Caenorhabditis elegans: one gene and its partner. The protein of the gene in region 2 purifies or fractionates together with the protein of the main gene of each other region. This does not show direct contact. Each region holds a gene or a part of one and is shown on either strand. Other genes may lie near its edges.

What was found.
Region 1: the proteins of homt-1 (region 2) and C30H6.8 fractionate together in Caenorhabditis elegans (co-fractionation; one large-scale study listed by BioGRID). This does not show direct contact.

What each region holds. Positions count from the first base shown.
Region 1 is NC_003282.8:17,380,329-17,383,755, reverse strand, and holds C30H6.8 (protein-disulfide reductase), read right to left. Parts: upstream 1,428-3,427; coding exon 1,272-1,427; intron 1,196-1,271; coding exon 978-1,195; intron 929-977; coding exon 766-928; 3' UTR 677-765; downstream 1-676. Other genes in the region: C30H6.12 (BESS domain-containing protein), read right to left, coding at 281-320; dlat-2 (2-oxoacid dehydrogenase acyltransferase catalytic domain-containing protein), read right to left, coding at 1,609-1,765, 1,852-1,989, 2,225-2,445, 2,490-2,627, 2,673-2,777, 2,823-3,021, 3,066-3,121.
Region 2 is NC_003279.8:4,132-12,080, forward strand, and holds the start of homt-1 (Alpha N-terminal protein methyltransferase 1), read right to left. Parts: upstream 6,100-7,949; 5' UTR 6,018-6,099; coding exon 5,964-6,017; intron 5,716-5,963; coding exon 5,596-5,715; intron 2,197-5,595; coding exon 1,906-2,196; intron 1,166-1,905; coding exon 1,064-1,165; intron 228-1,063; coding exon 90-227; 3' UTR 1-89. Other genes in the region: nlp-40 (Peptide P4), read left to right, coding at 7,510-7,558. UniProt on the Caenorhabditis elegans protein: Alpha-N-methyltransferase that methylates the N-terminus of target proteins containing the N-terminal motif [Ala/Pro/Ser]-Pro-Lys when the initiator Met is cleaved.

The DNA of each region.
Region 1 (3,427 bases), on a different chromosome or scaffold from region 2:
AACGTCAAAGAAATGTGATAGGATCCTCCAAAAGTTGTTCAATAAGTGCAACTCTATCAATTCATTGTCTACATTTTGTGCATTCGATACTTTCTGCTAAAATGACAGTTCCATAAAATGTGAAATTTAGCACAACAGTCTCCGCCCATATCTTAAATTCTTGCATTTTTGCATTAAAAATACATATACTTATTATGTATCTGCCATACGTCCTCTCATATTTTTATTACCACAAACTAAGATTTTGAAATAAAAATAGCAATTTTAGAAGTTAACCCACCGCTCTCCTCCATTTCAATAATGTCTTTTGCCATCAACATTAGAACATCAGACTATACGAAAAAATGAGACGAAGCCAAACAAAACCGCGTACTTTTCCTTTCAATATTTTTTTTGCCCGACTGCTTCTCTAATCAGTTAGAGGGGAAAGAGATGGAATCCCATAGCAACCACACACCGCCTTGCCCATTTTTAGTGCTTTTCTCGTTTCATTATCATTATTTTCGTTGTCGTGTAGGTTCAGACTCTCTATTTCTGATGCTGTTGTTCAGTGAGCGGAATGGGAGAGAATAACAGGATGTATATGGGGAATATATGTGAGAATTTTCGAGAATGCATTTTTTGTATTTAGTGTTCGTCTGGAAAATATTGGTGAGAAAAAGAACAAATTGTAATGGAAATTATTTACTTAAAAGAACCCATAATCAATGTTTTCTCTACTAAAATGTACATAATATTCAAGTCTAGTTGAGTCATCTGTGTAAATCACTGATTCAACAATTTCTTCCATTCCTCCATAGTCTTCACAGGATCCGCCTTGATTCCAGCTTCTACGTCAGCACGGACACGATCATGAACGACATCTCCATTGGAGTTAACGAGTTTCAGAACCGGTATCACCACTGCTTTGTACTTTTCCGATAGCTTTCTGAAAAATTATAATTTTTTTCAGTATAAATTTTGGAAATTTCTCTCACTGAATATTTTCATCTCCAAATGGAATATATGGCCAGTCTGGAAGATTCTTCTCATAGTATTCTTCTTGGTGGGCTGCTTCTTTGTCCTTCGACACCCATACGATTTCCAGATTCTTTCCAGCATCCGATTCTTTTACAGCATTGTAGAATTTCTTGATCTTTGGAGTCAGAAATTTGCAGGATCCACACCATCCAGCTGAGAAGTAGACAACTACTGTCTGAAATTCTTTTTTTTTCAATTTTTGAAAATAAATTTTGCAACGTAAATAGGTGATTTAAATTATTCAGTCCTACCTTATTTTCGAAATAATCTTTTGGTAGATTTCCATCAACTCCACGCTTCTTCATTGGAACCGATGACAAAAAGTGTGCATTTCGGATACTTGCGAACTTTGTGAAGTTGCCAGAAGCTGAGCGAAGAAATGATGAACCAAGAAGTGAAGGGGACATCTTGAAAATAATCGAAAATTGTGGAAGAAAATGTTGGACGACGCGATATTTTTAGGGCGATTCACGCGGAAAGTGTTTTCAAATTTCGAATTGCATTCAAATTAAAAATTCGACTTCATTTTATCTAATATTAGAGTACATCGGTGCTATGAAGAGTATGAGAATCCTGTCTAATTCGAAACTACAATAAACGCGAAAAATCAAAATCGAGTTCTGGAGAAAGTGGTTCAGCAATGAGCAATTCCGGATCAGAAAGCGATTCGGAGAAGTGAAGAAGGAATCGTTTTGCACATTCTTCGGAGATTGCTCGTCCGTCGAAACAAAGATTGACACCCATTCTAGAAAAAAATACATATTAATCTGATGGGATTATTTAATTTTGATGGCAGAGATTTTTTTTAATTTCCTAGGTATCAGTCCTTACAATTTTTGTGTCTCCAATTGTCCATCAACAGATACAACTTCAGAACGAGTTCCTCCGATCGTCAAAATGGCACATTGCGGTGGATTTATGATGGCTGTGAAGTTGGTCACACTTCCGAACATTCCAAGATTCGAAATTCTGAAATTTTCTAATTTTTGTATCATTTCGGGATGATAGCTTTTAAATTTGCATGATTATCATGTGATTTCTTTATCAATTCTTCTCTCTTACGAGAAATTAGAACAGAAACATAAAAAACTTCAAAGATCTCTAGAAGTTGTTTGATGTGGATACATTTTTTGAACGTTGTGAACGTTTCAATAATTTCTGTAATTATATTTGAAGTAACCGAAACAAATAGAATAAATCTCACGTAAAAGATCCTCCCTGGAACTGTTGTGGTTTTAATTTGCTTTCTCGCGCCAATCCCGACAACTCCTTCACTTTGCTAGAAATCGCCAAAACGCCCAAAATATCAGAATTCTCTACAATTGGAGTGATAAGGCCGGTTGGAGTAGCCACAGCGACCGAAATATCGACTGATCCGAGACCGATTCCTTCTGGAGTCCATCGAACATTTACTGTCGGCACGGACTGAAATAGAGCTCTCATTTACGAAGAAATTTTGAAAAGCCTACCCTCAGTGCAAGGGCTGCGGCTTTTATGATAAAGTCGTTGAGCGAAACAGCAGTTCCGGATTTTTTCAATTTCTGTCTCAACGCCAGAATATCGTCAATTCGAACGTCAACACCTTGATATTCGTGAGGAATTTGCTGCTGAAATAAAATATTTTCTCCAATAATAACATTTCGAATTTTTACTTTAGAAGCTGTCAATCGTTTTGCGATTGTTGCTCGAATATTGCTGAGAGGAATATCTTGGTGATGACGGAGACTGCGATTGTTGGCGCCGAAAATGTCTGATTTCTGCAAAACAAAACAATATGTAATTTTTGAAACATTTTTCCAAACCTTTTCAATAGATTTATTTTCAATATGTGTTTCTTTTGGAGCATGTGCATGATGAGCCACCGGCTTCAGCTTTTCAGCTTCAACTATTTTCATAACATCGCCTTTCAGAATATTTTTGTTTTTTGGGCCTGTTCCATCAATTTTTCGATTTTCCAGACCATATTGAATCAGAAGAAGCTTGACTGCAGGACCGCAAGCTCTGGAAAATACTATTAAATAGAAAAATCTATTTTACACACTTACCCTTGGTTTTGTGCAGCAGTAGAAAGGTGGCGAAGAGCCTGACTACCGGCTAGCATGATTACCCTGGAAGAAATATATCAATTGTTATTTTTACGATGCGTGTCATAACAGGAATAACGGAAATATTTAGCAAAGGAAGAAGAGGAATTGAAGGAAAAATCTGTTGAGCGGTGTGCAATGCAAGAGCGCTCTGCCGCACTTCTCTATTTATTTCTCCGTCAACGCCTCTTTCTCTTCGCTCAATTGCATTTTTTTGCATTTAAAATAAATATTTACTTAAATAAACTAATCTTTTTTTGAAAAAATTTAATAACGAAGTGTACTATTTAGCATAAAATTATGCATAATAAATGAAATAAAAA
Region 2 (7,949 bases):
TTTATTTAACAGAAATAACGTGAGCACGCATGTAAAACATGAAATTTTCGGGAAAATTGCAATTAAACGAATAAAAATCGATATTTAAATCAATTATTGGTGAATCCGGTGTGTTGAGGCTTCAATGCATACATTTTTACTGGATAAATCTCCTTTGGGAATCCGGTTTGCAGTGCTTTCGAGACCATGTCCAGTTGAGAATCGGCGAACGCTTTAAGAAGCTCGGGCTGAATAATGAATTGTTTTAAAAAATGTTTAGTAAAAAATTGTTTTCGTGCAAATTGTCTTCGATATTATCCAAACGTGACGTTTTGCGATTTTCGCGCTAAAATTACAGTAAGTGGGGTCTCGACACGACAATTTTTGTGAAATACAAACGGGCGTGTGTCTTTAAGAAGTACTGTAGTTTAAAAACTTCATTTCTGTGGAATTTTCATATATTTTTCATAGTTTTTCTCTTTAAATAAATCACTTTTCAACAAAAAACTATGAGACAATAGTTTGAAATTACAGTATTCTTTAAAGGTGCACGCCTGCTCGAATTTCGCAAAAACGTGTCGTGTCGAGACCCCAATTACAGTATTTTTGACCCGAATATCGCGAAATTTCGAGTCTGGGTGAAAACATTGAAATTTTTGGCAAAATAAAAGAAATATGTCCTTTTTCAGAATATATTTTCTAAATTTCGAGACGAAACAACAATTTTAAATGAATTTTAATTTTAAATATTAAATATTTCGGAATTTGGCGTTTTTTATGCATGTCGATTCACTAACGATTTTGTACTACACGTGGGCAAGTTTATACAGTTTTTGGCTAAAATTTGTGAATTTGAACCGTTTTTCGGCGAATATTTGAAAAATTGGCAAAACTGGTTCAAAAACAAAAATTTTTTAAACTGTACAAACTGTCCAAAAATTCGTCGTAAATCGACACACCCTTCTCATTTTTTCAAAATTTTAATTGTTTTCGAATGTTTTTTTTGCAGAATAATTTGTAAAATGAGCCTTTTGTGAATTTTTTTTAATTTCAAAGTTTTTATTATTTTTTCTCAAACCAGCACCTCTGTTCTCGTCCAACTATGATCATCATCGTCGAATAACCGTTTCTCGTGATTTGTCACATTATCCTTGAGCACAATACATCCACCAGGTTTCAGTCCTTTCTGAAAATGAAAATTAATTTTAAAAAAATTGAATTATTTTAAATGAAACAGTTTTCAGAGATTTCTCAACTTTTGAGTCCACCACCAGGCCTGCACGTTTTTCGGGTTTTATCTTTTAAAAAACTGAAAAATCGAAAAATTTCAATTTCTGTTTTGTGGTCAAAATTGTAATTACAGGTAAGCAAATAGTTTAATTTTAAAATTGAAAATTAGGGAAATGACCGGACATAAGTTTAAAAACCCGATTTTTTCAATAAAAAGGAAAATTGAAAATTTAATAAAACAGGTTGTAAATCAAGGAGATCGTATTGATTGAAAAAAAATCCGAATGTTCCGGATTTTTCAGTGGTTTTTTTTGAAAGAAAATCGAAAAAGTAAATGTTTTTAATTTTTAAATTTAAATTTTTAATCGGAAAAAATGTACGAAATTGACTTTTTAATGTGAAAAATTGTTGTTTTAAAAAAAAATTTTAACCGATACAGATTTTCTAGACTCAGTTTTTTCGGTTGAATATTGTTTTTTACTATTTTTTCATTACAGAAAGAATCCAATTTTATTTCGCTTAAAAAATAACCGGAGCATCGAAAATATTTTTTTTTCTGTTTTACTCAAAGCATTTCAATTACCTAGAATTTTGTTTAAAAACTACATGCTTTATTTATGAACGTAATAAATAAGACCCCCTCTTATTTATAAACTTTCAACATATTTTCAGTTTTCAGTGCTATCTAGTGCTTACCGCACATCTTTTAAAGAAATCAACCAAATCCTCATCAACCAAATGCCCTGAAACCCATTGAATCCATATCAAATCATAACGTCGTTCGGGCGGTGCAAACGTCTGCAGTCCTTCGACGAATTTATCTCCAATTCGTGGATGTTTTCCAATATATTGATCACTTTTCGTGATCAACTCCTCGACGACGTCTTCCATATCAACTTTCGAGAAGAATGGCATTAAGAGATGCTTTGTAACACGTCCGATACCCGCTCCGCAGTCCAGTGCATAGTCAAAGTAGCCGAATAGATTCTGGAAAATATTTATAAAATTCAAAGTTGGCCCAGGGGTGACCGGCAATTTCAAGCAAATCGGCAAATTGTCAATTTTCTGAATTTGCCGAAAATTTGACAAAAACGACAATTTGCCGGTTCGCCGAATTTACCTTTTTTAAATTTAATTTTCAATTCAGGCAAACTGACGATTTTCCGTTTGCCGGATATCAATTTGCAGGAATTTCTCAAAGGAATTTTTATTAAGACGGAAACACAGTGCTTTTTTGAATTTTTTTTCCCGTTTTCTTCAGATATTTTTATAGAATTTACTGACTTTTCAGAATAGATGTAGGACAATTTTGTTGTTTTAAAAATTGAAATTCTGAAATTTCCAACAAAAAAACATGTGCAAACCCACAAGTTGGCAAAAATATTTTGCATTTGCCGTTTTTCCCGTTTGCCGAAAAGTCTAATTTCGGTAATTGGGCCATTTTTCGAAATTTTGAGCCACATAAAAAACTTTGAACCATTTTTGAGAAGTATTATTACGACATTCGTTTATTTGAGCACAATTTGGGCCTATACTTTCAAAATCGGGGTTTGAAAACCCCTATATGTTCGACCGAATGTTAATCTCATAAAAATTTGATGAAAATAAAATTTTCTACGGCTCATAAACGTATAGCCCCCGTCAGTCTCAAAATTTATACGATAGACACTTTTTGGCGTTTATCGCCTATATTCCGTCAAAAACCATTATTCATCATTCTTTCAATGTTGTTTTTTTTAAGGCTAAAAAACTTTCATGCAAATTTGTTAGCCGTGTCGTGGTTTATACGAAAATTTCAGAATTTATAAAATAAAGGAAAACGAAAATGTTTCTATATACCCTATTTATGTTCTCTGATTCCGAATACCAATGTGAAAAATTCAAAAAAAATTCCCTGATTTTATATAAATTTTTGTAAGCGACAAAAATTGTCGTTTGAATTTCACACTTGGTTACAAAAATTTATGAAAATGAGGAAAATTTGTTTTAATTTTTTCACATTGATATTCGGAATCAGGAAAATAAATAGGGTCTATAGAAAAATTCCGAACCTTCACTCCTTCTCTGAGTATAATAAATTTAAAATAAATACAGAAAATTTCAGTTCAGACCTCATTAAATTTGGGTATATTTCTAGGATCCGAGTTTTTACACCAGATTTACAAACTTTTAGCCTTTCACCGCCTTTTTATGCGCATTTCCCATCAGTCAACTCCAAAAAAATCGCAACTTTTGCCTCATATTTCAAGAATATTCCCCTTTCTCTCCCCATTGAAAGTCATTTTCGAAACAAGCGGAAGATTCGTCATATGTGGTAATGTGTGGCGTGCGTTGGCAAACAACAAGAAAGAATCATTCTCTGAAAACAAAAAGCGTTTTGGGTGCCAAAGTAATATTGAAAATCTGCCGTGTTTTCTCATTTTCCATCAAAAGAAAATGAGAAAAAAGTTTCGGCGTTTTATTTGATTTCCGGGAAAGAAGACTCGGAAAAAGATTTAATTGAATTTTTCATAGCAAACCTATATTGCAACAACTTTCTAAAAGGTCAGAAATTGCCGCGTAGCCTAGAAAATTGGAAAACTCTTCCAGCTGGTATTATTTCAGACATGGTGCATCGAAAATTCGAAAATTACAGAAATTAACATTTTGGAGCATCTGCCAGAAAATTGAGATTACAGTACCCCACTTCTGCCGAGAAATTCGAGGTGGAAGAGGTCTTACAAAATTTTCGGTCACGTGAAAATGGGAAGCGTTCAGGCTCCACACGACGGAATTCACCTAGTTTTCAGGTGAGAAGATATCGTACGAGGAGAATTGACCTCCAAATCCTGATCGTGACTACAGGTCGTCGTTCGGAGCTGTGGAAGAGTTTTGAAAATCTTCGACCATGAGAGAAATAGACAGGACGACCAAACATTTTCAGTGGAAGAGCTTTTCCTAGGCCATCAGGATGCTATTTCGACAGAGCTGAGTTATCCTCAAGTCGTTACGAGGTGTGGAAAAGTTTTCCAAAATCCCCGACCAGGTAGAAAATGAGCACACCGATTAAGTTTCTCCAGTGGTAGAGTTTTTTCTAGGCCATCATTATGCTATCTAGAAAAAAGCTTCGGCCATGGGGTTTTTAGGCCGTCTATTTATTTCTCATAACTTTCTCAGAAATTCGTCTATTTCTCAGAACCCCCCAATGATAAGTTTTTTGCAAAAAAAGTTCTGCTTTGCTCATCAGCCGTAATCAGGTGACCTCATTAGGCCTACCCAAACACAGATTTGTCATTATTTTTCAGACAAAAAACACGAAAAAAATCTTCACGCATGGGGTGATAACCTGATTTTAAATCTTACTGTGCCGGCTGGCGCGGCGAGCTTCGATCACTGAGCCGAAAGATTATGAAAACTATGGGAATGACGGCGTAGCCTAGAAATCGTCCAGGCAGAGATTCTGTCTAATTTTCGAGCATATATCTCCCAGTTTTGTTATTAATTTAAGTAAACTCAAACCTAGAAACAAGTAAAACGGGAGGGGGGGGGGGAATATCAGAAAATTAAATCTTGCGACACTTTTCCATTGATACTTTCAAGGTAATGCCCAGAGGTGTGCGGCAAATTTTGAAACTTGCGCATGCCGCCTTTTTTTTTTTCTAGAAAACAGTCAGAATTTTTTGTCGAATTTGTTGAAAATTCGCTAATATACTGTGAGTTTAGAAAAAATAACGAAAAAACTCGGAAAAGGAGGAAGAGATCTGAAATATGTAGATTTTTTTAGAAAAGACCAGAAATTACTGAAAAATTGGCATTTTTCGTCGAAACCCCAATATACTAAATTATTCGGATTTTTAGAAAATTTTCAAATTCACCATACAGTGCATTTTTTCCTACTTCTACGACTTTAAAGGGGGGAGCATTTATGCGGAAGGGTCTTGCCGCGCATTTAGTCATCATTTTTAGCAGTTTCTGTGTAAAATTCGCGTAGATCACATGAAGATCACAAAATATTTATCCCATATTTCGTATTTCTGTTGCTTTTTCACAAATTAATTGTGATCTACGCGTGATCTCCGCGAATTTTGAGCAGACTTTGTTAAAAATGATGACTATGTGCACGGCAAGACCCTTCCGCATAAATGCGCCCCCCTTTAAAGTCGTAGAAGTGGAAAAAAAATGCACTGTAGCAAAAAATCGAACATTTCTGTTCGATTTTTGAATTTCTCGAAATTTTTTAAAATAATTTTTAAAATAACATTTTTATTTTATTTCGAAAACTACCGATTTTAGAAAAATTCTAAAATTTCGATTTTTTTTGTTGATTTTTCGATTTTTAAAATAAAATTTCATAATTTTTTAAACCGATCTTTCTTGCTTTTCCTGAAAAATCGATGATTTCTATACCTTTTTCTTCAGTCCTTCAATAAATCGTTTCGACGCCGATATGTCGGGCGCGTGAAGCGCTTCGAATCCGCCGAGCATTCCGTTGACGTCCTGGCTCGCGCGGCTCCAGTATTCCTCCGCCTGAAAGAGAATAGTTGAAAACATTGTTTTGAGACTTAAAAATTTTTTTTTTAGTTTTTTTCAAAAATTCTTACATGTTATAGAGTTTTTTTTTCAAATTTTCAGCTTTTTTCAGAAAAACTTAGTATTTTCGATAATTTTAAATAAAAAAGTTTTTTTTCAAAAAATGTTTCGGTTTTTTTTTTAATTTTTGGTCTAAAATTCTCCGCAAAAGATTTGCGTGCTGGCCGAACTTTTTGATTTTGTACCTTTTCATAAACATCTTCACCATTGTGAATTCTAGAAGATGATGAAGAGCTCATTTTTGATGTTGTGACAGCTGCTCCGAGCAATCTGGAGACTTTTGTGACGAAAAGACGAGAGGTCACGGATATGATGATGATACTGGAAATGAGATATTTATATTTACTAGTTCATCGGGAAAATTATTACGAGAAAGATAAACAGACATGTGCGTTTTTTTAATGGAAGAGAAACACAAGAAAAATCTGGAAAACTAGGCCACGGCTATCAGTGTCGATTTACGGCATACGGTCTCGACACGACTATTTTTGTTAAATGTGAAGGTATGCACCTTTAAAGAGTACTGTAGTTTGTAACTCTCATTGCTGCAACATATTTGACGCTCAGCGAAAACTACAGCAATTCTTCAAAAGACTACTGTAGCCTTTGTGTTGACTTACGGGCTCGATTCTCGAAACGAATTTCTGCTCGAATTGTGACAGCCATATTCAATTTGGTATAGTCTTTTCGTATTTTTTGCCATTTTTCTGTTTTCTTCTAATATTTAATCTATTATTAAATTATGTCCGTAACTCCCTCCAAAATTAGAACTGCGACCGAACAGAGATTCGTTCCGCCCCATATTCCGGCCAATCAGATCGAGTAGGCGGAGTTCGAAGTCGCTGATTGGTTTGAAAAGTCGCGGAAATTTGCAAGTTTTAAGGTAGCGAAAACTGATGACTATTGTAGCGCGCTTGTGTCGATTTACGGAATCTCGATTTTCAGGAATGAATTTTTAATTACATTTTTTCGCTCAATTAATATTCTAAATAAATAAATAAATGATTTGAATTAATTTAATTTCATTCGAGCCCGTAGATCGACACATGTGCTACAGTAATCATTAGTTTTCGCTACGAGATATTTTGCGCGTAAAATATTTTCCCGTAATAACTCTACTCCGACAAACATTACGACCTCCATGGAGGCCTCCAGGTATAGGTGAGACTCTTGTATTTCCAATTCAGAGACAATGCGTCACTGGAAGAGAAAACGAAGCGGAAAAAAAAACACGGAAACCCAAAAATAGTGTTTGCCCCGCTCTATTCTTCTCCAATAATTTCTGTGTCTAATTTTGAAAGACTCCACCTGTGTATGCCTTCTCGACATAAACCCCCCCCCCCCCCCCTATCTTACATGGTACTGATAACACTTTCAGTCTTTCACACTTTTGGCGCGCAACGCCGCTCTTTTTTCGCGGCGAGCTGATGACGTCATCAATTTTTCATCGCTTTTGATTATCTTCAATGTTCTAGAAGGGCACATAGGTCATCCTTATTTTTTCCTTCTCTTTCTCGTGACGGCCCTTGTTGCGCATGCCCGCCCCCTAGAGCAGGGCGTGGCCTGAACGGCGGCTCCGAGAGCTACTCATTCTTGCCGCGTCACCCTCCAGCGCCACCCAAACTTCTTCGGTTCTAGAGATCGAGAAGAACGTATGATTTTTTAAAATTATAATTGTTTCTTTCGAAAAAAAAAATTTCATTTACAGTAAGCCAAACATACACAATCAACATGAAACTCGTAATTCTGCTATCTTTTGTTGCGACAGTTGCGGTTTTTGGTGAGTTTATGCTTTAGATAATACTTTTCCGCCAAAAATACAGTTGCCGGTCTCGGTATGGCAATATTTTTGTTAAATTCGAAAAGCAGTGAGTAATGTAGTTTCGAATTTTCGTTTCTGCTTAATTTTCATCAATTCATCGTTTTTCTCACGACTTCTTCTTTATGAAAAATCAATGAAAATTCTGACTAGGTCAGCTTAGGGGTGAGGTACCTAGAGACGCCACATATGCCAAACGGAAGCTGAGATCATTGGCTACAAGAATATGCTTTCAAATTCTGCAACGGACCTCTGGGAGTCTGGAAATTCTTGTCTGAAATTATGCTTTTGAATGCTCGAAAGTGGTAAGAATTTAGAATTTATTACAGAAAAACGTTTAATTAATAAAATT